Linked DNA regions of Cricetulus griseus. The protein of the gene in region 2 purifies or fractionates together with the protein of the main gene of each other region. This does not show direct contact. Links are inferred from orthologs where the notes say so. Each region holds a gene or a part of one and is shown on either strand. Other genes may lie near its edges. The genes, in order: Dcp1a, Upf1, Ncbp1, Magoh, Ilf2, Upf3b and Mov10.

The links.
Region 1: the proteins of Upf1 (region 2) and Dcp1a purify together in Homo sapiens (co-immunoprecipitation; 4 studies listed by BioGRID and IntAct, with this or other methods). This does not show direct contact. The link is inferred for Cricetulus griseus from reciprocal best matches to the Homo sapiens genes UPF1 and DCP1A.
Region 3: the proteins of Upf1 (region 2) and Ncbp1 purify together in Homo sapiens (co-immunoprecipitation; 3 studies listed by BioGRID and IntAct, with this or other methods). This does not show direct contact. The link is inferred for Cricetulus griseus from reciprocal best matches to the Homo sapiens genes UPF1 and NCBP1.
Region 4: the proteins of Upf1 (region 2) and Magoh purify together in Homo sapiens (affinity purification with western blotting; 3 studies listed by BioGRID and IntAct, with this or other methods). This does not show direct contact. The link is inferred for Cricetulus griseus from reciprocal best matches to the Homo sapiens genes UPF1 and MAGOH.
Region 5: the proteins of Upf1 (region 2) and Ilf2 purify together in Homo sapiens (affinity purification with mass spectrometry; 3 studies listed by BioGRID and IntAct, counting the BioPlex papers as one, with this or other methods). This does not show direct contact. The link is inferred for Cricetulus griseus from reciprocal best matches to the Homo sapiens genes UPF1 and ILF2.
Region 6: the proteins of Upf1 (region 2) and Upf3b purify together in Homo sapiens (co-immunoprecipitation; 16 studies listed by BioGRID and IntAct, with this or other methods). This does not show direct contact. The link is inferred for Cricetulus griseus from reciprocal best matches to the Homo sapiens genes UPF1 and UPF3B.
Region 7: the proteins of Upf1 (region 2) and Mov10 purify together in Homo sapiens (affinity purification with mass spectrometry; 3 studies listed by BioGRID and IntAct, with this or other methods). This does not show direct contact. The link is inferred for Cricetulus griseus from reciprocal best matches to the Homo sapiens genes UPF1 and MOV10.

What each region holds. Positions count from the first base shown.
Region 1 is NW_023276807.1:189,261,229-189,265,444, reverse strand, and holds the start of Dcp1a (mRNA-decapping enzyme 1A), read left to right. Parts: upstream 1-1,416; 5' UTR 1,417-1,498; coding exon 1,499-1,633; intron 1,634-4,216. UniProt on the Homo sapiens protein: Necessary for the degradation of mRNAs, both in normal mRNA turnover and in nonsense-mediated mRNA decay. Removes the 7-methyl guanine cap structure from mRNA molecules, yielding a 5'-phosphorylated mRNA fragment and 7m-GDP.
Region 2 is NW_023276806.1:248,638,407-248,641,149, forward strand, and holds the end of Upf1 (regulator of nonsense transcripts 1), read left to right. Parts: coding exon 1-20; intron 21-484; coding exon 485-646; intron 647-730; coding exon 731-948; intron 949-1,117; coding exon 1,118-1,237; 3' UTR 1,238-1,240; intron 1,241-1,357; 3' UTR 1,358-2,243; downstream 2,244-2,743. Other genes in the region: embryonic growth/differentiation factor 1-like, read right to left, coding at 2,290-2,743. UniProt on the Homo sapiens protein: RNA-dependent helicase required for nonsense-mediated decay (NMD) of aberrant mRNAs containing premature stop codons and modulates the expression level of normal mRNAs.
Region 3 is NC_048595.1:97,282,110-97,285,609, forward strand, and holds part of Ncbp1 (nuclear cap-binding protein subunit 1), read right to left. Parts: intron 738-3,500; coding exon 649-737; intron 111-648; coding exon 10-110; intron 1-9. UniProt on the Homo sapiens protein: Component of the cap-binding complex (CBC), which binds cotranscriptionally to the 5'-cap of pre-mRNAs and is involved in various processes such as pre-mRNA splicing, translation regulation, nonsense-mediated mRNA decay, RNA-mediated gene silencing (RNAi) by microRNAs (miRNAs) and mRNA export.
Region 4 is NC_048595.1:41,957,005-41,959,262, forward strand, and holds part of Magoh (protein mago nashi homolog), read right to left. Parts: intron 1,352-2,258; coding exon 1,241-1,351; intron 1-1,240. UniProt on the Homo sapiens protein: Required for pre-mRNA splicing as component of the spliceosome. Plays a redundant role with MAGOHB as core component of the exon junction complex (EJC) and in the nonsense-mediated decay (NMD) pathway.
Region 5 is NW_023276806.1:64,074,791-64,078,896, reverse strand, and holds the start of Ilf2 (interleukin enhancer-binding factor 2), read left to right. Parts: upstream 1-1,306; 5' UTR 1,307-1,433; coding exon 1,434-1,438; intron 1,439-2,177; coding exon 2,178-2,237; intron 2,238-2,676; coding exon 2,677-2,719; intron 2,720-4,106. UniProt on the Homo sapiens protein: Chromatin-interacting protein that forms a stable heterodimer with interleukin enhancer-binding factor 3/ILF3 and plays a role in several biological processes including transcription, innate immunity or cell growth.
Region 6 is NC_048604.1:29,409,222-29,412,721, reverse strand, and holds part of Upf3b (regulator of nonsense transcripts 3B), read right to left. Parts: intron 1,975-3,500; coding exon 1,931-1,974; intron 1,539-1,930; coding exon 1,356-1,538; intron 961-1,355; coding exon 922-960; intron 1-921. UniProt on the Homo sapiens protein: Involved in nonsense-mediated decay (NMD) of mRNAs containing premature stop codons by associating with the nuclear exon junction complex (EJC) and serving as link between the EJC core and NMD machinery.
Region 7 is NW_023276806.1:52,175,127-52,178,626, reverse strand, and holds part of Mov10 (helicase MOV-10), read right to left. Parts: coding exon 3,431-3,500; intron 3,137-3,430; coding exon 2,978-3,136; intron 2,746-2,977; coding exon 2,642-2,745; intron 2,476-2,641; coding exon 2,378-2,475; intron 2,290-2,377; coding exon 2,073-2,289; intron 675-2,072; coding exon 557-674; intron 388-556; coding exon 196-387; intron 88-195; coding exon 13-87; intron 1-12.

The DNA.
Region 1 (4,216 bases), on a different chromosome or scaffold from region 2:
CCAGTACTCTATAAATTCAATTAAAGTATACATGACAGAAGAGTGAATAAATAGGTTACTTTCCCTGCTTTTGTACTTGCTTCCCACGATTCTGTAAAGAATGTAAAGTTTGTTCTTCCTTTAGTAAATGATCTTGGGATGTAAAACTATAAGCAATACAAATATGTGGTGTTGTTTTGATGAAAACGTAGTTTGTTTTTTCAAAAATGTTCAATTACACCAAGGTGTCTTCAATAAAGGAAAATGGTTTTTAAAGCAATTTGGTGAAAATAGGGTAGGCATTTTGTTTTACTTTTTAGTAGTACCTCACTACTTAAGATGCCCAATAAATGTTTGGGGTTTGTTTTGTTTTGTTTCCTCTGTGTAACTGCCCTGGCTGTCCTGGAACTTGCTCTGTAGATCAGGCTAGCCTCGAACTCAGATATCCACCTGTCTCTGCTAAAATTAAAGGCCTGTGCCACCACCTCCCAGTTGCTCTTTGTTTGTTTTTAAAGTGATCTTCGTATTAAATAACGACGTTCTTTAATCTGGAACAATAGAAATATTTACCTGGGACTCGGATGAGAAAAAAATATGAGAAAAGGGCAAAAGAAAAGGAGTCCTGTGTAATTCCAGGCAAGCTAGTTTGGCTGCTTTGAAACATTTCTTTCAAAAATTACCAAATTGTTAACTGAAGGTCTGTAGGTGTAGTCTGAGGTCGGAGGTAAAGTAACATACAGCACACACACACACACACACACACACACACACACACACACACACTTTCTGAGTTTTCTAAACGATCACACACACTCTTTCCGAGTTTAGTTTGGCTGCTTTGAAACATTTCTTTCAAAAATTACCAAATTGTTAACTGAAGGTCTGAAGGTGCAGTCTGAGGTCGGAGGTAACATACTGCACACGCACACGCGCGCGCGCGCACACACACACACACACACACACACACACACACACACACACACACACACACACACACACACACAGTCTGAGGTCGGAGGTAACATACAGCACACACACAGACACACACACACAGACACAGACACACAGTCACACACACATACACTTTCTGAGTTTTCTAAACGGTCCATGGAGACGTCATTTCCACAGCAGCATTTCGATTCTGCGCCTGAACCTGAGACAGCCTCTGCGATGGAGTCCCGCCGGCTGACACAAGCCGGGAGCAGCCGAGAGCAGCCGGGAGTGCTCGTGGAAGGAGCTCGGGTCCCACCAGGTGAGCGAGGACTGGGGGCTACTTCCTCGTCACACGCAGCCGCGGACGCCAGCCAGTACCTTCCGGCAGATGCGGACCTTCGGAGACCGGAACCAGGCTCCCAGGATGTGGGAGTGGCGGAACAGAATAGTTAAAGTACCACCCTCCGCAAGGCCGGGCAGCTAGGCGGAAGTGAAGGACTGACTGAGCTGGGGGAACTTTGCCTGGATTGCACTTTCCTGTTCTCTAGTCCGCCCCCGCCAGAGGGGCTCGGCTCCGGGATTCAAGATGGAGTCGTTGAGTAGAGCAGGGCAAGAGATGAGTCTGGCGGCCTTGAAGCAGCACGACCCCTATATCACCAGCATCGCAGACCTCACGGGCCAGGTCGCTCTGTACACTTTCTGCCCTAAGGCCAACCAGTGGGTGAGTGAGGCCCAGCCGCGAAGGGTGCCAACCTGGCCGCTGCCGCCTCTTAAAGGGGCCGCGCAGGCAGCTTAGGATTGGGGGTGGGGGAGTGAAGCAGGACCGCAAAGGCGAGGCCAGAACCTCTCCTAAAGGCCCGGCCAGAACCAGAGGGGTGACGGGGGCACGCGGAATTGGAGGAAAGAAGCGGGAGAAATATAGCAGGGAAGATCTAATGGAGGGGAGGAATGAGGCAGGATCAGTCCTTTGGGGTCGGTTCTGGGGACTTGAGTAATTTTACTTTTTTACTGGTTGCATTGGAAGGATATGAGACAAGTTAGTTTTTTTTGGGGGGGGGAGGTATTTTTGTGACTGAAATCTGTGTTTCAGACTTTGAGAACTATTAGATAAATTACATGTGTCTAATCACAAAGTCCACCCCTCTCCCCCCAACCTACCTAAATGAGGTGATTTGGATTTGAAGCTTAAAAAATCAGTTTCAAGAGTTAGTCCCGCTTTAATCGAACTACTCTAGAGTTTGGGGAAAGATTTCAAGGCATCTAAGGAAAGGGCACTACGGTAAGAATAGGGTTCCTTGGAGACCTTTTGCAGGGAAAAGAGACCGGTGATACCTAATCTTTGATGGCTCACATCTGAGGACTTTTTAGATTTTGTGAGTGGCGATGGAGTTCCAAAAAGTTACAGTGCCTACTCACTGACTTGTTAGCTTCAACTTAAAGTACCTTTCAGTTGTTTACATGGTTTCCCATTTTCTTGTGCTGACTCTTTCTAATTCATTCAACTGTAAAAGCTTCATGCCTTTAATCTGTAACTGTTGATTGAATAGAATTCATCAATGATAGGCGTTCACCCTTCAACAAGTAATGAGGTCCTTGAACTAACAAAACGCTGAAGGACTGGTCTAACTTTTATTCACTGTGACACTGATACATAGATGTAATTTTGTGGAAGTGTATTGTCATTTATGAAAGTTTACGTCAGAAGAAGTTTCCATAATCATTTTCCTTCTCCTTCTGGAGGGGAAAGGGATGTAGGAAGCCACTGAGAATAAAATTACAAACTGTTTTACTGGTATACCTGTTTTAAACAGTGCCTTAGTTTGAAGTATTTTGTATCATTTTTCTCTGCTTCCTCTATATGTAAATTTGTAACATAAGGGCTGCAGACAATTGGTGAGAATTTGCAAGTAGCATTTATAACTGTTACCTATTTGTAGTTTTTCACAAAGGCTTGCAACACTTGAGGATTTTCACCATGGAGTTGTTTTAAAATGAAATTGAAACCTAAGCTGCTGTTTTTTTGGATCTTGATACATGGTGCATTCACCATCATCTTTTCTTATTTATTAGTGGTGAGTTGTAATTTTGCTCAATGTATTTTGGGAGGCAAGTTTACTTTTACTCTGAGACAACTGGCTGTCATCTTTTTCTGATGAGAGCATTTTTTTTAAAGCAAGAAAAGGCCTCAAGAAGGATAAGTTTCATTGTGATGTAGAAGACATGTACAAGAAACAGATCTTTATTTTTAATTTTTTATCACAACAATTTGTTTGATATAACGTTAAGTTTTGATAATCTTTTGGTTACATTTAAATTATCAAGATCCAGTGTAAGCCAAGAACTACAGACTGACAGGATTTTGGGGTTTTAGAAAAAAATAAAAGCACTCTGCCTGTGCCTAAAACCTGACTATATTCTTGTCAAAACAGATGAAAGAATATTAATGGGTTGTATTTTCTTGTTTTGTTTCTTGTAGTGCAGAAGATCAAACCTAGGGCCTCATGATCCTATTCAAGCACTGTACCTCTACCACTGAGCTATATATATCCAGCCCAAGTTATTTCTTAATCAAATTTTCAAATGTTTATTTTAAAAACCTACCAGAATTGCCTACGTCTGAGAATGAGGTCTATCCATGGATTCTTAACAAAGTGTTTGGTAGTAGTCCTTAACTAACCACAAAATTTGTTACTAATGAAAATATTCCTAAATTCTCCAGAGGTGAAACAAAGTATATAAGAAAATTTCCTGAGAGTTAGGGATTTGGCTCAGTGGTATACAGCTTTACATCATCAGCCCCAGACCCTGAGTTCAGCCCTGGTATCAGTTTACTTTCTTTTTCTATTAACTTTGATAGACTGTTAAAGTTTGGTCAGGTTTTTTTGTTTGTTTTTGAAGTTGCAACACAAAATACTTCAACATTAAGATACCTTGTTGAAAGGTTTTAGGTTTGGCAAAGTTAAAGCTGGGACTGGAAAGATGGTTCCTCGGTAGCTAAGAGCACTGGCTGCTCTTCAGAAGACCTGGGTTCAGTTCTCAGCACCCACATGGTGGCTCACATCCATCTGTAACTCCAGTTCCAAGGGATCCAATGCCCTCTTGTGCCCTCTGTGAGTTTCCAGCACACATGTTGCGTAGACGTGTGTACTGGCAAACATGTATGTTTGGTTTTTTAGTTTTTAAAAAAGTTAATGCATAAAAATAAAAAGTAAAGCTAATTCTGGTATTTTGTTTTTTAGTGGTCCTTAAGGTTTAAAATAGAAAAATGCTACAGATGTAGACATGTTGAATTGAACATTGATTA
Region 2 (2,743 bases):
CTATGACCGCAGCAGCCAGGGTAAGTCTTCCTGGTAACCGCAGTATGTTTGACTTTCCCATGTCCCAGTCTGGATCTGTCACACACACACACACACACCCAGTGGCCTCCCAGGCTGGCCTTTGCCTCCATCTGGAGCTTGCCCAGTGAGTCTTTGTGGGTTCTCCAACCAAGCCCTTGGACCCTTTCTAGGCTCCCAGGCTTTTAACCTATGCTCTGGGTTTGTACTGGCACCTCGGAGGCAAGCCTGTGTCCACCTCCACCAAGCTGGCCTCTGCATTTTGGAAGCTTCTGAGTTGCCTAGAAAGCTCCAACGTGGCCAGAGCTTCACCTACCCTTCTGTGTCAATTCCTTACGCTCTACTAGCACCCTGCATGGGAGACGCACTCCATCTCTTGCTTGTCTCCTTAGCTGGCTGGCCCAGCAGCTAGTTCACTGCAGCATTGTCTTCTGGGACCCTGCATCTGACTCCAGGTGTCTTGCAGGCCGGCCATCAAACATGTACTTCCAGACCCACGACCAGATTGGCATGATCAGCGCAGGTCCCAGCCATGTGGCTGCCATGAACATCCCCATTCCCTTCAACTTGGTCATGCCTCCCATGCCGCCGCCTGGATACTTTGGACAGGCCAATGGGCCAGCTGCTGGTGAGTGGCTGTATCATCACCATGCTGAGTCCTCATCTTGATAGGCTTAGGTAGAGCTTGCTGTCTTTCACTGCTGTCTTTCAGGCCGGGGTACCCCAAAAAGCAAGACTGGCCGTGGAGGACGCCAGAAGAACCGCTTCGGGCTTCCTGGGCCCAGCCAGACCACCCTTCCCAACAGCCAGGCCAGCCAGGATGTGGCCTCACAGCCCTTTTCCCAGGGCGCCCTCACACAGGGCTATGTGTCCATGAGCCAACCCTCCCAGATGAGCCAGCCCGGCCTCTCCCAGCCAGAACTGTCCCAGGTGGGCCCTCATCAGCATACTGGCAGAGGGGTGGGGGAATGGGGCACCTTCCTGAAGGGCGAGTCACCCGCCACTAAGGCTGTATTCTTACCATATTCCAGGGTCTCACTCCTGGGTGGGTGTGGGCTGGTGGGTGTCCTGCCTTGCTCACTCTTGCTTTGCCTTTCAGGACAGCTACCTCGGTGATGAGTTTAAATCACAGATTGATGTGGCACTCTCCCAAGACTCCACATACCAGGGGGAGCGGGCATACCAGCATGGCGGGGTCACCGGGCTGTCCCAGTACTAGAAGGCAAGTGTCCTAGTAGGCCCAGCTATCTGCCTACACACTAGTGTAGACAGATACGGGGTGTGGGCAGGTTCTGCCTCCACTTGGCCCTGATGCCTCTCACCCTGTCCCTGATCACAGGTGGCGGCGGAACAGCTAAGCTATGTGGCTTAGTCTATCAGCATCTTATTCTGGGTAATAAAAAATAAAAATAAATGGATACCTGTTTTCCACTGCTAAAACTGAAGCACCACTGTGTGAGCAGCCGAGGAGAGGAGAGGAGAGGAGAGAGGAGCGAGAGCGAGCTGAGAGCGGCCAGGGAGGACGACGGAGAGGAGCGGAGCGCCGAGGAGCGGGCGCCCCCTGCGGGCGGTGAGAGGAGAGAGGCCCGCACCGCTGCGAGGCCGGCCCGGCGCCGTGCCCGCCAGAGGGAGAGGCCTCGCCAGGACCGGCCCGCTGTTCTTTTTCTTTGTTTCTCGTGATTGAGGGGCTACGTTTTAGCAGGACGAACTAAGCGTTTCTGTGCCCGAGCGGGCGGCCAGGAGCGTCATCGCGCACGTCCCAGCGCTAAGGGGTTTCATTTAAAGAAAACACGGTGTTTGGGGTTGGGGGGAGGGGTGTTTTGTTTTGTTTTCAGAGATTCTTTCAAAGGAGTATGGGAAGTACTTTGATCAGTTTGTCTCTAAGACCTTAGTGGTGGACCTGGGAGATACAAGAAGCTTCCAGAGAGGCAACGCAGAGAAGCCTGAGCCCCGCAGCCTGGGATCACCGTCTGCACCATGGCCAGAGGATTTGTTTTGAGTTTGAGCTTCAGAAGCTGCAGGCGAACTCCTGAGCGTGACCAATGCGTGTTGGCCCGCGGGGTCTTCCCATCGTGGGTGGAGGCCTGATTGCTGGGCGCTCTGCCCCAACCTCCCGCAGTGGCCCCCGACCCCTACCCAGGCACACCTGCGTCAACGCAATGGAACTTAATTTTTGGTCAAATTTGTTTTAAGCTTTTTGTCACCAATAAAACATGAACAAATGGTCCTTGCTTTCGCGTGGGGCTGTCCCTATGAGGGTGTCCCGGGTGGTCAGCGGCAGCCACATTCATCCACCACCATGTCTTCGTAGTGCCGCAGCACCACATTATCACTGTTGTCGAAGAAGAGCACAGAGATGGGCGACAGGCGCGCAGGCACGCAGCAGGGCAGGCCTGCGCCTGGAGTGGGGGCGGCCGCGTGCATGAGTGTGCGCAGCACGGCGTGGTTGAGCGCGGGCGGCCCGCCGGGCTCGGGCAGCGTGCACGCTCCCTGGCAGAAGTTGGCCAGGAAGCCGCGCGGTGCGATCACCCAGCGGTGCCAGCCCACCTCACGGAAGCTCACGTGCAACCGTCGCGTGCGACACGCGCCCCCGGGACCGGCGCCCATCCCGGGCTCTGTGTGGCGCCTTGGCCGCGGCGGGGGGCACAGGCGCGGGTCTAGTGTCACCAGCAGCAGGGAGGCCTCTGCCAGGCGCACGTGGGCATTGGCGGCTCCACAGTCCAGC
Region 3 (3,500 bases), on a different chromosome or scaffold from region 2:
CATACATACACTGTACAAAGAAGCCTTAAGATCTTGCTCTTGTAGTTAGGAAGATCAGCTTCCAAAACACCAGCCAAGCCTTCTAGATTGCTCTCCAAAGAGCAGGCACTCTGCAGAGGACATCACATTAATTATCTGTTAGCGCTCAAGCAATCAATGACTTAAAAGTTAAAATTCCTAGATGACCATAAAACATTAAGGTCTTCTATAAGGCACTGTGGGGAAGAAAAATAAGAACTAAGGACAATTTTGTAGAAAATTCACTTAGCAGTAATAAATCCGAGTAGTTACTGTTCATTAGAATTATATTCTATGAAAAGAGAGTCAACAAAATCTTCAAAACAGTCTAAGCAGAATGTGCATCCATCCCAAGTGTGGGGACAGCATGGGCTGTGCTCCATCACTCTCACTAATCACCCTCTGCTGTCTGAGGTATCCAAGTCTGCTTCAGGTCATCATGCTGAGGACTATCCTCAGGTCTATTTTAAGGCTTGTCTAATGAAAATTACCAAAACACATTCCCATTGGGATACAGATGTGCAGTAATAACACACACTTTGTCTGTAACTTGAATCACCCACTACAACTTCAGAAATTAATCAAAGCTGTCAGCCACAACCCTAACCCCTGGGTTTGATGCATACCTACCTTTTCCCCTACTTTGCATATTAAAGATTCCAAATGATCTTCAGTTTCATTTGCATCAGAGGTCTTTCTCCTTTTGTGAGGTTGTCCACCTATTTCAGAAACATTAAAAAAAAAAATTACATGATGACTCTACTATCACAATTTTTGTCACCTTGTTAGCCTTTAACCTCTTTTCCATCAGACTATGTTTTTTAGAGTAGCTCTAACCAATCACATTTTAACTAGTCTAGGTATACCTGGACAATTTCTATCCCGCATTCTTTTAGATTTGTGTGTACGTAAGTGGATGCACACATGTATACAGGTTCCCATGCTAGTACACTCATATACAGCCAGGAGAGGGTGCTAGGTGTCCTCCACCACACTATTCTTTAAGGCAAGGTCTCTCCCGAACCTGGGGCTCACTTTTCTTAGCTAGGATGATGGTAACTCCTAGTGATCCTCCTGTCTTCACTCTCTTGAAGTTGTGGTTAAAGACATATACTGCACACACTTAGAGTGCTGAGACCCAAATTCCAGTTCTCATGATTGTGTAGTAAATGCTTTTAACTGTTGAGCCACCTCTCCAGACCCCAGTCTCTCCCTCTCTATGCATGTGCGTTTATATATATTTAATTTTTTTTTATTATTTTATATGTACAGATGTTTGGGCTATATGTATAACTATGTACCACTTGTATGTCAGGAGCCAGTGGAGGCCCGAAGGGAGATTCATATGCCTTGTAACTGGAGTTATGGACTTCTGTAAGACACAATGTGAATGTTGGGAATTAAACAGAGGTTCTTGAGAAGAACAGTTGGTGCTCTTAACTGCTGAGCCATCTTTCCAATGCCTCACATTGTCTCTGTTATTAAGGTCACTATAAAGAATAATGTCAGGAGGCATTTTTTCAGTTAGATTTGTGTAAGCAATGTCCACTTCTTCGGAAACACTGAAGGGCACCAACACACCAAACACCCATAATCTGAGTACTGCTGCTTCCATTCTTTTAACTTGCTTACTGACCCACAGTTTTTGGTTCCTAAACCTCATAGTGTCAACCGTACTTGTTAAACTGATGATGTAACTAAATTACTGCAGAAACTGCTGAAATAAGGATTTAGAAACAAGTTGACTCTGCTGGAAATTTTTTATTTAAAGTATGACTTTAAACTTAACAGTGCTGATGCTAAGAAACTGCTTCAGAATGCATAATGCACCAACAGTGTTCTTCATTATTATTCAGAACCAGATTTTAGGTGAGGGTCAGAGAATACAGAGTGAAAAACTAGCTGAATGAGAGCAGCTGTTTTTCTAAACCTTTTCAAACTTTTTCCTTCCTTCTGGCCCATCTACTATACTAATCCTTTATCACATCCCAAAGCCCTCCTAATTATACATTGTTCCAGTTTGCAACCATTTTTGTCTTCCAAACATTTCTTCCATGTCCTCTTGTAAGCCTGACACACAGAAATCACTGCTTTGGGGAGACAAGGCAGACTTTCTAAAGACAATGAGAAAATACAGGCACATAGTCATATCTCTGAACTGTTAACTTCTGTGTTGCTGTGGCTATCCAGCCAAGGTTTATCTGGAGAAAACTGAAAGTACTAGAATGTGAAGAGTCACTCTTCTTACCTGATACTTGAGAGGGTATGAAAGGTACATGTGAGTGCTACCGATCACAGTCTGAACCCATGGACAGTAATAAGACACTGAACTCAGCAGACAGTCCGAGTGAGAGCACAGAAGCAGAATACAGCACCTTTATTAAAAATACTTTGGGGGGGGGGCTGGAGAGATGGCTTGGTGCATAAGAATACTTGCTACTCAAGCATGAAGGGCCAAGTTTGATCCCTAGAATTCACATCAAAAAGCTAACATATGCCTGGTATTGTGGTCTTTAAATCCACCATTAGGGAGCCAGAGGCAGGTGGATCACTGAATTTGAGGCCAGACTGGTCTACCTACAGTTCTAGGACAGCCAGGGCAAATCAGTGAGTCCCTGTGCTGGCTAAATTTATGTAACTATTCACAGGCTAGAGTCATTTAAGAGAAGGGAACCCCAATTGAGAAAATACCTCCATAAAATCTGGCTGTAGGCAAGTCTATAGGGCATTTTCTTAATTAGTGATCATGGGAGAGGGTCCAGCCCATTGTGGATGGTGCCATCCCTGAGCAGCTGAGGCTCAGAACCTAAGGTGAGCCACTGAGGAAGGTGCAGCCTCCACAGCAGTTGAAGGCCCACGATCAAAGGGGTCATGAAGAGTAGCTGAGGCTTGGCACTGTGAAGAGAGCCCCGGAAAGGGCTATTGGTGAAAGAGCAGCCCAGTTGCAGACAAGACCCCAGCATTTTGGAGAGGCCAGTAACATGGTATGACCAAGGACAGTTGCACGGATGGAGTGGAACCTGCCAGAGCTTAAGAGACAAGCTGTGTGTGCTGCAGAGAGTGAAGCAAGAGAAGAGACCCAAGATCCTTGGAGGATCCCAGAAGATCATGAGTGGATCCCAGACATTGGACACAGAGTTATTTATAGGTGGGAGTTTGGATTTGCTTTGTTCAGACTGTGAATGTGCTCTGGTTCTTGCCTCTTGAATAAAAAAGCAACTTATTTTTGAGACTTTAAAAGTTTTAAAATCCAAAGTGTTTGCATTGGTAAAGACTGTTGGGTTCTTACGTTTGTAATATGTTTTATATTTGTGTTATTTATTAATCTGAGATACTGGAGATGAAAAAAAAGGGAAAGGTTATGTCTTAAGTAAAGTATGTCAAACTGACAAGGAGTCAATTGTGCCGGCTAATTTTGTCAACTTGACACAGGTTAGTGATGTCAGAGAAAGGAACCCAATAGGGAATATGTCTCCACAAGA
Region 4 (2,258 bases), on a different chromosome or scaffold from region 2:
AGTTATACCTGTCTGCCACTCTAGTCTCTGGTATCCCCTAAAACTGGCATGTATTCCTTCCACTTGCTTTTTTAGATTTAGTAGCATACTTTAAAAATAAATGGCCATACGTGATGTGTATGTATATGTATGTGTGTGTGTGTGTATATATATATATATATATATTTCATTCAATATTGTTTCTAATATTTATCCATGTTGAACTACTCAACAATTTAAATATGTTGAACATAACATTTCCTTACTGAAGCAGACTTAAGTTCCCAATTTTTGCTATATCATTTACAATGTGGCAAGAATGTTCTAGGTCTTGGGGCTGAGCTCACAGTAAACATTTTGTTCTAGTCCTGAAGTTAGGTCCCCAGCCTCACCAAAAGTATTTTTTTACTCTGTCAGCTCCTTATCCTAATGGCTTCCTAATGTGGCCATACTGGTACTTTATTACTGCCATCAGTGTATGAGCTCTTTCTATTCTTTTGAAGACCTGGGTGAGGCTTCAACAATGTGATGTCCCAATTTTTACAGGTTACAAATGTACCTGTAAATCTTTTCCATGTTTCCTGGCTACTTATTTGAGTCTATAAACTGTCTATTTATATCCTTTGCAACATTTTACCCCCCTGGGTTATCTTTTTATTGGTTTATAGTTCTTCACATATTCTTAGAGAAACTCCTTGTCAGATATTTTCCAGATCGTTTCAACTTTGTTTAGATGCCTTTGGTAAAACAAGTTTTAAGTTTAATTAAAGAAGTCAAATTTACAAATCTTGTCCTTTAAGGAAAAAAAAAGATATTTTTGTGTTTTGAGATGGGTCTCATTATATACCTTTGGCTGGCCTAGATTCCAGAGAGACCCACCAGCCTCTGTTTCCCACTTGCTGAGATTAGAGGCATGTGCCAACATGTTCAGCACAATTTACATTTTAAAAGAACCTCCCTGGCTTTAGGATAGAAATGTGGGGCTATACAATGCAGGAGAAACACAGAAACCAGAAGTATGTAGTATAGTAGTGGCAGTCGAGGTAAATTATCTTTTACTTTTTGGTTAACAAAATGGTAACATGGGGCTGGAAAGCTCGCTCAGTGGTTAAGAGCAGTAGCTGCTCTTGCAGAGGACCTGGGTTCCATTTCTAGCACTAACATAGAATTAATGATTCTCTCTCCCTGCCAAAATGTCCCATAGAGCAGTAGTCCACATCTCCTTTGTAAGAAGTACAAGTACAATCAATAAAGCACTCACCTGCCGGCCTACTCGGTCAGGAGGGGGCCACAGAGCATCATCTTCTTTGGTGATTTCACTGTCATCAATAATTCTCTTTAATTCTTCCATCACACTTTTATGTACATATGCCTAAAATCAAGTTTAAAATACATGAGCCTCTAGGGGCCATTCTCATTCAAACCACCATACCTCAACAACATTCTGACCCAGAAAGTAATGGGAGATAAAACTCCTAAAGACCTGTTTCTCAAACCTCCATGAGGAGGGTTCAGGATCAAAAGTACCTAAAGACAGTAGTCCAGCTCCCCAGCTACTTGTTGGTATATCCTGTCTGTCCACATCAATGTTTTCTCTGTATTCTAGCTCATGCAAAAAAAAAAAAAAAAAAAAAAAAAAAAAAGAAAAAGAAAAAGATAGGATGCTGACTCGGCATAAAATTAACAGCCAAATGGTATGATGGTATACTTGACCGTTACATTTTTTTCCCCTTTTTTCTAGACAGGGTATCTCTAGCTTTAGAGTTTGTCCTGGAACTCAATAGAGATCCCCCTGCCTCTGCGTCCTGAGTGCTGGGATTAAAGGCATGAACCACCACTGCCCAGCCTGACTGTTATATTTTCAAGTGTGACTGAGTGGTTAAAAGGAAACAGCAACAGGGCAGTGGTGGCACACACCTTTAATACCAGCACTCGGGAGGCAGAGGCAGGGGGATCTCTGTGAGTTTGAGGCCAGCCTGGTTTACAAAGCTACACAGAGAAATCCTGTCTGGGAGTGTAGGGCAGGGGGCAGGGCAGGGGGGGGGGTGCGGCAGAGTTTTGATGTAGCTGTAATGTATGCTAGAAATCATAACAGAATGGAATACATGAACTTTATTGAAATATAAGTATGCCTAAATTTTGGCCATTATTTCTTACAAAGTAAAGCAAGAGTAACTTTGAACAAGCCTCAGATTTAATATCTGGGCCTTAATTTCCTATATATATATTTATAGAATATTCTGTCACATAAGTGTTTAAAATCAGGGTTAAAGAACATA
Region 5 (4,106 bases), about 180 Mb from region 2:
AAGGTTTATTTTATTTTAAATTATGTGTATGTGTGTATATATGCTTGTGTGTGCAGTGCCCCAGAGGCCAAAAGAGATCTGTTGCTCTCTAGTCGTCGCTGCCAGAGCAGTGCATGCTCTTAACTGCTAAGCCATTTCTGAGATAGCTTTCCAGCCCTAATGAACAAAAAGAAGTCTAAATCCATGATAGCAGAAATCCAGAATGGTTACCTTTCTGAGGTCACAAACTTTTGTTTTTTTGAGACAGTATCTCACTATCTGGCATAGACCGGTTATGTAGACCAGGCTGACCTTGAACTCACAGAGATCCTCTTGCGGCTGCCTTCCAGGTGCTGGAATTAAAAGCGTGTTCCACCATGCTCCGCCAAAATATTTGTTTTGAAAAAATTTTCTGTTAAATTTATTTATGTTGTGTTTATGGGTGTCACCACAGCCACAGCACACATAGTGAGGTCAGAAGACAATATGTAGAAGTCGCTGCTCTCCTTCGCGTGGGTCTCAGCAGCTTACACCTGCTGAGCCACCTTGCGGACCCGATAAAATATTGTTTATTTTAATCTTGGTGGGGTTAGGTTACTTGGAAGAAATACACGCCTACAAAAGTACACAACACATCAGTACTTGTCAGAATCACACAACACAGGGAAGTGGGGAGGACGGGGTGGAATTCGGGGAGGGGAAAGACATGATCAAAATATATTGCATGAAAAGTATTTTCAATAAAAAGAACTGTATAACAGTAATAACATCGAGGGAATAATTGTGGTAAATAAGACTCAATTATCCCTGATATTTTCGTAGGGTAAAATTATGTTTTCAGGTGAGGTGGCACACCACTGACATGCAGGCACTTGCAAGGCTTGAGGACGTAGAGATTGCTGTGAGAGTGAGGTCAGCTCGCGTTCCATTAACGAGAACTTTGTAAGCCGGGGTGACCAAGCGAGATGCTGTCTGGAAAAAGCAAAACCAAAAACAGCTGGAGAAGAAAAGACAAGTTTGTTTTATCAAAGCGAAGGCAGGAGGCCGTAGGAAAAAAACAAAGTCTCCGATAGCAGAGGATGGTTTCGATCCATCGACCTCTGGGTTATGGGCCCAGCACGCTTCCGCTGCGCCACTCTGCTATCCACTGCTCAAACCCCTTACTGGGCCCATAGAAGACCTTTACTAGGTCACAGTCCGGATTCTGAGCGCCCCCTAACGTTAGTGTAGAAAATTGCCTTCATCCCCGCTATTGTCTTCCTATTGGTTGGCTCCTTATAGGGCATTTTTTTCATTGGTTGCTGAATTGACCAATAATCACAAGGGACGGAACGAGGCGGGAGCCTATCGCGCCGGCGTTTGTTGGGACGCCCTGGCAGACGCTTCTCTGCGGACCTGATTCTTCTAGGGAAAGGGCGGTTTAGTGTCCTCCATTGTTCAGGATTAAGCGAGCCATGAGGTAAGTGGACAGAGGTTCCTGAAGGCTCCTCCAGAAACCTCGGGAGGGCGGCCTGAAACGGAGGCGGAGGACCAAGGGCCTGATTGTGGGCGCCTGGCGGCGAACAGGCCGGCGAGAGTGGAGTTGGAGGAGGCGGGTGGGGGCGGGGAATCGGGCCTGGAGGGGGCTGGGCCCAGCCTGGGAGCTGGTTTAGCACCTAGGGCTCGGGATGGTGTGGAGAGCCCTCACGGACCAAAAAGAGCATCCTCGGTCTGCAGGGAGAAGGCTGGAGCGCTGCGCATTTTCTAGCGCCTAGTGTTTGACCAGTAGGACGTGCCTGGTAACTGTTAACGCTGTGCTGAAAAGAGAAGGCACTTTACTCTGTTAGGATTGGCGAGTCTCACGGTCGTGGGTCGCTTGGTAGGGGTATGTGTGTCAGTCAGGGTCTTCACCTCATATTTTCCTGATGTGAGCTTTGATAGAATCCAGAATTAGAAGTCGGGTGTAGTGTCGCGCGCCGCAATCACAGCACTTGGGAGGTAAGGCAACAGGAGTACATAGGACCCTGTCTCAAAAACAAAAGGGGAAAAAAAAATCCAGAATTAAGACGTCGTGGGGGTGGCGTTGGGCACCATTTGGAATTAGGGAAAAGTGACTTCAGTAGTTAGAAGCGGTTGAGGTAAGTCAAATTGAATTAATGTGGCTGGTATGATGGAGACGTTTTTCAGCTAGGTGAAAGTAAAATGTATGTATTTTTTAGGGGTGACAGAGGACGTGGTCGTGGTGGGCGCTTTGGTTCCAGAGGAGGCCCTGGAGGAGGGTGAGTGTGGCTGTTTGCATCTTTGCCCCGGTTTGTTCCAGTCATCTAAATAAAGGTTTGGAGTGGACTGCTGAACTTGATTTTTGTGAAGGTCATGTGAAGCATTTCTTTTCCTGATATTCTGCTAAGTAACTTTAGCCTTTTGCTAAGAATGATATGGCTCAAAAACTCTGGAATTCGCCGGGCATTGGTGGCGCACGCCTTTAATCTCAGCACTCCGGAGGCAGAGGCAGGCGGATCTCTGTGAGTTCGAGACCAGCCTGGTCTCCAGAGTGAGTGCCAGGATAGGCTCCAAAGCTACACAGAGAAACCCTGTCTCTGAAAACAACAACAACAAAAAACAAAACAAAAAAACCCCAACTCTTAAAAGACAAAGTTGGTGAATTGTGTACTCACTTGCTTTCTGTTTAAATAATTTTGGATTGTTTTTGTGTTTCAGGTTCAGGCCATTTGTGCCCCACATCCCTTTTGATTTCTATTTGGTGAGTACTTGGCTTTGTGGAGGACTTTTCTGCCCACTGTGCAAAAAAGGGAGCACAGAATCTCCTTGTTAATGAAGTCAAGTATTGTTTGGAGTAGATTTGTGAATGAATATGGTATTGTTCATATTATGGTACAGAAATATGGTTCATAATATGATACAGAGAAAGAGAGTCTTTCTCTGTATGCCTGGCTGGCCTGGAACTCAGTGTAGACCAAGCTGACTGCAAATTCACCATCCTCCTGCCTCAATCTCCTGAGTGCTGGGACTATAGGCATGCACTGTCACATGTGGCTTAAGTTTTTATTTATTTAGTTTGAGTGCTAGGGATTTGAACCTAGGTCCTTAGCATGCTAAACCTACAACTCCAACTCCTAGTTTTATTTTATTATTGCTATATTTATTCATTACATATCACTATATAGGTATATAATATGGCTGTATCAGTAGACACAGGTTTGGTTCCCAGCACTAATATCATAGTGTACATCTGTCTGTAATTCTAGTTCCAGAGGATCTTATGTTTCTGTTGACTTCCACAGGCTCCCAAACACAGGTGCACATACATACTCTGAAGTGTTCACACATATACAATAAATAAATAAATATTCAAAAACAAAGCAATTGGTCAGCCAGTTTTCAAAGTGGCTGTAATACTTTTGTAATCCCAGGAATGGATGCCTATGACAGGAGGACCATGTTCAAGGTTTAAGATCAGCCTGGGATACAATAGTAAACTGTCTCAACAAAAACAAAACCGAGAAAACAGTGTAAACTTGGTAGGGAAGATAATTTCTTTAGTTTGATATTTAATATTTCTTCTATTATATTTGGTTATAATATAAAATAATTTTAGGATTTAATTTTTTTGTTGTTTGTTTTTTTTTTTTTTCGAGACAGGATTTCTCTGTGTAGCTTTGGAGGCTGTCCTGGAACTAGCTCTTGTAGACCAGGCTGGTCTTGAACTCACAGAGATCCTCCTACCTCTGCCTCCCAAGTGTTGGGACTAAAGGTGTATTTAATTATCTTTGAGACAGTGCCTGTATATATAATTTTGTCTGGTTTGGAACTAATAGGGATCTGCCTGCTTCTGGTTCCTGAGTTGCTAAGGGTGTGCACTATCACACACACACACACACACACACACACACACACACACACACACACACACGGTGGATCATACCCCCCCCCCCCAGGATTGTTCTGTGTAGCCTTGGCTGTCCTAGAACTCACTATGTAGACCAGGCTGGCCTTGAAACTTACATAGATCTGCCTGTCTCTGCCTTGTCCTTCCCCACCATGCTGAGATTAAAGTTATGCACCAACATGGCCCAGCTACAGTGGATTCTTTTTATTTCATGTGTATGTATACCCCCTTGTATGCCTGG
Region 6 (3,500 bases), on a different chromosome or scaffold from region 2:
AGTCAAATTACTTGTGGCATGGTGGACAGAGACTCAGCTGGAAGGAATTGAGGTGTAAGCTTCCCCTGTATCAGCAATGTTGAGTCCAAAGGAGACTGAGGAAACCCCAGCCCCCCCTCCAGTTGCTGTATTTCCAGAAAGGAGAAGAAGGCAACCATGCTGTCATATCTGTTCTCAGACTTTCTGAAGGTCTAGCTGTTGAGTACTTCTCTGGGATATTCTCTGGGATATTCACTGGAGCAAGGACTGCCCAAGCCATGCCCTTGGGAAGGAAGCAGCAAGGCTGAGATCTTTCTATAGGTTTTCCTCTTCCTATATGCAATGTAGCAATAAGCGTCTGCTGATCACAGATTTCTAGATGCTAGATGGTAACTTGGGAATCACAGGAGAGGGGAAAGCAATTAAGGCAGGGTATTTGTCAATACTTTCCCCCCAGGGCAGCCAGTTAGGAGAAGTATATAAGAAGATGAGAAGGTGCTATATAAACTGACTTTTCTCTGGTTACACAGCAGAGCATCAGGGTGTCACTTGCGCGCCCTCTATTTTACTCTGTCCTATTTTATTGAGGTAGGTACTGGAACTGCAGGCTAGGCTGGCTTCACACTAAACCCTTAATGAATCATCATGCCTGGTTTGGGGTTTCCTTTTTTTTTGTTTCTCTGTCAGGCTGGCCTCAAACTCACAGAGATCCGCCTGCCTCTGCCTCCCAAGTGCTGGGAATTAAAGGCGTGCACCACCAACGCCCGGCTGGGGTTTCCTTTTAAAGAGAGATGTCAAATAGCTCAGCTTTCACAAAGATCCAAGTCAATCTGAAGGGGTTTCAGCACGTAACACTACCACCACCACCAAAAGTTGTTATTTGCTAAAACCTGTGTGTATGACATGATACTAGGTGCTCTGTATCATGTACTTGATCCTTACATTTTTCTGATTCACAGCTTGTAACAGAAACCTGTGTACCTGAAGACAGTGGAAAACAAACAGATGAGGCAACTTCATGTATCATTTATGAAAGAAAAGCTGAAAAAAAACCCCAAATGCATGCAAGCCAAGCCTAAGTCCTCATTTACCAGGAACTGAGAGACTAGCAACCCACATAGCAAACATTATTAGTGACTTAAACAAAACAGGTCTGCAATGAAGGACAATAGCATTGGATAAACTACTGAATGCTTCTAAGTCATCTTAAGCTTAAAGCATAGCACTATTAGTATGATAGGAAATCTTTTTATTTCTGTAACCCCACAAAAGTGCAAAAAAAAAAAAAAACAAAACTTGCAACAACACCAGGCTCATGCATAAATAGATACATGCAGTTTTCAGTGACATGCAGTCCATTTCTGTTGTTTTCATACCTTAATCTTTGGTTCATCCTTTATTTTTTCTCTTTCTGGAACTCTTTCTATCTTCTTTAGCTTTTCTATATCTTTTCTTTTTCGTTTCTCCTCTTCTTTCCATTTTCTTCTCTCTTCTTCTCTTTGTCTTTTCCTTTCTATTTCGCGTCTCCTCCTTTCTTCCCTCTTTTCTTCTCTCATTCTCTAGAAATACCAACACAATCCTTCTGATTACATAAGTTCCAAAACCCCAACTAGCCACAAAGGCATTATGGATGCCTGACTTCTTTCCTACTTTCTACAACATCCTTAATACCCATTCTCTGGAGAATTAAGACTGGAACGGGACCTGATCCCACAGTTTCCTCTGTATATTCCCTGAGGTTTCTAGGGAATGTCTCTGGGACAGCAAAGCTCTCTCCAGGTCTGCAGGGTAAGCCCCTAGCCCACCACCAACATGAAGATGGCTAAAGAAACTAGATCTTTAAGGGCTAACTGTGGGAAGATAGCTATTTCCCATGTAGGATCCCAAGGCTCTCAAATGTTTATACACTGTGAACTAATAAAGAACCAGAACTACAAAAATGAACACTCACCTGCTTGTTCTTCAGGAAGCTCAAAAGTGGGGTTGTCCTTTTAGCTATAAAGCAAAAGAAGATTATTAATAATGCTTATCAAGCCTGGAAAGGATTTCATTTTCAGCTATCCCTTGCTACCCACTGAAGATGGGGGAATTACACCCCTTACAAAAACCACCCTAATAATCCAAACAAGTTGTATATTGTTCTATTTCAAAATGCTGGCTTAAAATAAATGTTTAAAAAAGTGAGTGAAACTGGGTGTGATGGCACACACCTCAGGAGGCAAGAGGATTAGGAGTTGAAACTATCCTTGGCTATATGGTTATATTGTTTTTGGTCAGCCTGGGACACATAAGATCCTAGCAAAAATAAATAAATAAATAAAAAGACACCGAGAAAAGATAGTGAATAAACTCCCATTGAAATACTGAAAGTTGGGGCTGGAGAGATGGCTCTGCAGTTAAAGAGGACTGGCTGCTCTTCCAGAGGCCCTAAGATCAGTTCCCAGTACCTACAAGGCAGCTCACAATCTAATGTCCTCTTCTGGCCTGCAGGCATACATACAGACAAAGCATCTGTACATAAGAGAATTACTAAAAAAAGAAATACTGAAAGTAATTTCTAGTTGGTAAGACAGAAGTACATTCTTATCATATAGGAGTATAAGTCTGTTGGACTGGAAAGAAACTGAGGGCAGGGGCTTGCGCTACAAATACCTGGTCTATTTCTACTTCTCGGAATTTATTCTAAGGAAGCTACCAGACACGAGAACATTCTGCATATTCATTAATAGAAACCAAGCTTTAGAAAGTTATTTAAGTGGGCTGGAGAGATGGCTTGGTGGTTAAGAGCAAGTAGTGCTACTGCAGAAGACCTGAGTTCACCTCTCAGGATCCACATCAGAATTCCAGCTCCAGGCAATCCGAAGCCTCTTGTCTCCCCAGGCACCTGCACCCATGTGCATATCACCTCCCCCATATTAATATTAAACAGTAAAAATGGGCTGGACACAGTGGCACACTAGGGAGACAGAGGCAGGAGGATCTCTGTGAGGTCATCCTGGTCTACAGAGTGAGTTCCAGTATAGCCAGGACTAGAGAGAGATCCTGTCTCAAAACAGCAAACAAAATAAAAATAAAAAAAAATGAATTAAAAAAAATTTATTTGGGACTGGAGAGATAGCTCAATGGTTAGGAGCACAGGCTGCTCTTAGAAGTCCTGAGTTCAATTCCCAGCATCCACATGGTGGCTCACAACCATCTGTAATGAAATCTGGCAGCCTCTTCTGACATGTAGGCATACATGCAGGAAGAACACTGTACATACAATAAATAAAATTTAAAAAAAAAGAAAAAAAGAAATTTATTTAAATTCATTGAACATGTCTTTTCTTAAACTTTCTTTCTTTTTGTTTGTTTAGAGATAGGGTCCAATAAGGCTTAGGCTGGTCTGGAACTCACTCACTATGTAACTAAGGATGGTACCCTTTTTTTGTTTTTTTTTTTTTCAAGACAGGGTTTCTCTGTGAAACAGCCCTGAATGTCCTAGAATTCACTCTAAATACCAGGCTGGCTCTGAACCTGGA
Region 7 (3,500 bases), about 200 Mb from region 2:
GATGTATGTCACCTTCAAATCCTTGATGTCATCCAGTCCTCGAAGTTCCCGGTCAAGTTTGGTGATGCAGTACCGGATTTTTTCTACCTGGAGGGAGGAGATAGGTTCCTTTTTCTCATGCCATCACCCCACAAAGAGGGAGGCAGAGGCAGGCAGCTGGCCAGGGTGCTGGCGGGCAAAGAGGGAAATCCTGACCTGCTTCCGGTATGGGGAGATGATGCCCACACTCCGGGGGCTCAGGCGGGCTTTACCCTTCTTGGAGGAAGGGGCCAGGAGCTGTTTCAAGTACGATGTCACTGTGGCGGCCTCTTCAGGGTTGAAGAAGGATGGGCTATTGCCCTCTCGCTCATCTTTGCCCATTACACCATGGAAGATGATGGGGAAGCCCTGAACACAAAGTGAGAAGAAACCCTCAGGCTGATCTCCTTGCCTCCCTGCCCTCCAGCTCAGATAGGGAATCAGGGGTTCCGAGCCATAATGACAAAGGGAGGTCTCTGTGCCTTCAGGAGAAGGGAGTCAGGGTCCAGGGATGGAGCCCTGCCATGCTAGGCCTCACCTGTTGAGGCAGCCCCTCCCAGCGGCAGAACCTTTCTCGGTCCACCACATCTGCACAGGCCTGCAGCTCTCCATCATAGTACAGCCGGTTAGGGATGTCCAGGATGGTGGGGTGAGACCTAGGAGGCAGGAGGAGAAAGAACAAGATCAAGGCCCTTTGGGGGAGCCCTGCTCCATGTGTTCCCCCTGCCCCAGCCTCTGGCCCTCCAGCCATGCCCAGGACACATTCATCATCAGTGTCTGCTGCCAGGTGCTATACACAGCAGAAAGCCAAGCCAAAGTGGTTCTAATAAGCAATCAGGCTAGGGCTCTCACTGACCCGCCAAGTTCCTTTTCAAAACCAAGAAATTAGGACCCATTCTCAGGCTTTAGTTTACTGAACAAAAACAGTCCAGAAACAAATTACCATCACCACTTAATTAGGTTATACCCCCAAAATATAAGTATCCACCCAAAAGCATCTACAAAACTTTTACAGTTATCACTGTGTGGTGTGGGTAATCATGCTTTGCTGTGTGGAGGTCAGAGGACAACCTTGTAGTGTCAGTTTTCTCCTTCCACCTGTAAGTGGGTTCACCAGTTTAGGAAATCCAATTTAGGTTGCTAGGTATGTGTTCACCAAGTACTTCTACCTACTGAGCTATCACAACCCTGCCATTTTGGGATGGTGTCTGACTGTATAGCCCAGGCTAGCCTTTAAAATCTGAATCCTGTCTCACTCAATCTCTAAATGCTGGGATTACAAGCATGTGCAACCACAGCCTAGCTTATATTTACCCAACGCTTAAAAGATTTTTATTCTTTTTAATTATGTTAGTGTGTAGGGAAGGGGGGTATGCAGGTGACCATGGAGGCCAAAGGCGTCAAGATCCCCTTGGAGTTAAAGAGTTAGAGGAGACTATGAGCCATGGGTGCTAAACATGGGTCCTCTTCAACACTTTTAACTGCTGAGGCATTTGTCCAGCCCCAGATTTACCAAACTCTCACTGACGGTCTAGAACTCACCTAAGCACTGACGTTAAACTTACTAGAAGAAATTCGTAAGATGGTAAGGGTGGAATGTACCTACTGTCCTAGATACTCAGGAGGCTGAGGCAGGACTGCTTGAGTCAAGAGTTAAAATCAACCTAGGCAAAACAGGCAGACTTTGTCGCAAAGGGGAGAGGAGAGTCGGGGATGTACATTAGTGGTAGAACACTTGCAAGCAACATACATGCAAGGTCCTGGGCTCAAGTCCCAGCACCCCACAAAAGTAAAAACTGCAAGTACATAGGCCTCAGCTGTGTATGTAATTCAACTAACAATGGTTTTAAGGAAAAACTTACACTCCCTTTCTTTTTCCTTGTTGGATTGCCTAGAAACTTAGACCCATCCAGACACATTCTGGTCTGATGACCTCTAATATACAGGTAAACCACTGGTCCAAGAAACAGCTGCCTGCTAAGTCACAGGACAAGTAGCTGTAAGGGGGTGACCAAGGAGACATCCTCTTCTACCTGAGGCGGGGACCATGATACCTGTAGTTGCGGAGCAGTTTGGTGATGAACTGGGGGTCATAGCCATTGGGGCCCTTCTTGTATAAGGAGTTGTAGGTGAGTAGGCGCTCCAGCAGAGAGTAGCCAAGCCCATGCTTCTGTGCCAGTGGTGAACGCAGCACAGGCCCCAGCTGCCGCGGGTCTCCTGCCAGCACTAGCTGCCCTCCTGGATTGCCCGTTTCCTTTACATCCAGCAGTCCTGAGAGGCACGGGAGAAAGAGTAAATGGTGGGACTTACCCAGTTGGTGTGGGGTGGTGTACCTATAGCCCATCCTGAGCCCCCTCACCTGCTATGGCCACCAGACTCTCAGGCTCCATGCAGTGGCCAGCCTCATCGATGAAGATGTGTGTGAAGTGATCGATGGGAAACTGGGCTGACACCAACCTGGGAGTGTCAGGCCAAGCAGGGGTCATTCCCAGGCACCCAACTACCAAACCTGAACTCTGGCCCTTCATTTCACCCTGCCCTCAGGGACCCTTCCTCTTTCCCTAGCCCTACACCACTTTACTTTTTACTAGCAAGCGAGAAAGAGATCCTATACATCCCTTACCTGCTGGCAGTGATGAGGGTGGTAATTAAGACCCGATATTGCTGGAGATGCTTCTTGGCAGGATATACATACTCTCCCTTTTTAGGATCCCAGTTACAGCAAGTCTGTGGGATATGAAAGGATGTGAAATCGGCTTGGCTCTTTGCTTTCTCACTCTCACCCTGGCTCTGGACCCTCTAACCAACACTTATTACCTGCCTCCCTCCCTTTGCTGGTAAGAAAACAAAAGTCCCCACAGCGGGCCTGACCCACCCGAAGTCACACAGCAAGTCTTTAGATGCTCTGAGAACCTCCCAGGCATCCATCATCACTTGGCCTTCTGCACTTCCTGCATACCTTAATGTCCTCAGGTACCATTCGGATGTCCCTGCTGGGGGCCAGAAGACGGTAGATGGAGCTGGGTAGGTGGACCCGGAGCCGCTGACAGAGGAGGTCAGCCCCTGAGTTGGATGGAGTGCAGGCCAGGATGTGGGCTTTGGGCAAGAGCTTCACTACCTGAGATAAAGAAAACAACAGTATGGGCAGAAGCTTCCTGTGACGGGGACTCGGGCTCCATCTGCCTCCCAGACACCTGATAGTCTAGATTTCTTTGGTATTGGATATCTGCAAATTCACCTCTGCATGTTTACACACCAACACTCAACAGTCATAATGACCATAACTCCCTAACTCCTCTTTGGGTGACTGTTCATATAGGAACATTCAGTTGACTAGAGGGAATCAAAATTGAAGACAAATGCTGGGGCTGAGTAATTCAGGGTAGGCCCTGGGATTGTGCTTCAGCCTCACCTGCTTGATGGCCTCCACTAATGTGACAGTCTTGCCGGTACCTGGAGGCCCAAAGATGATGTAGGGGGCA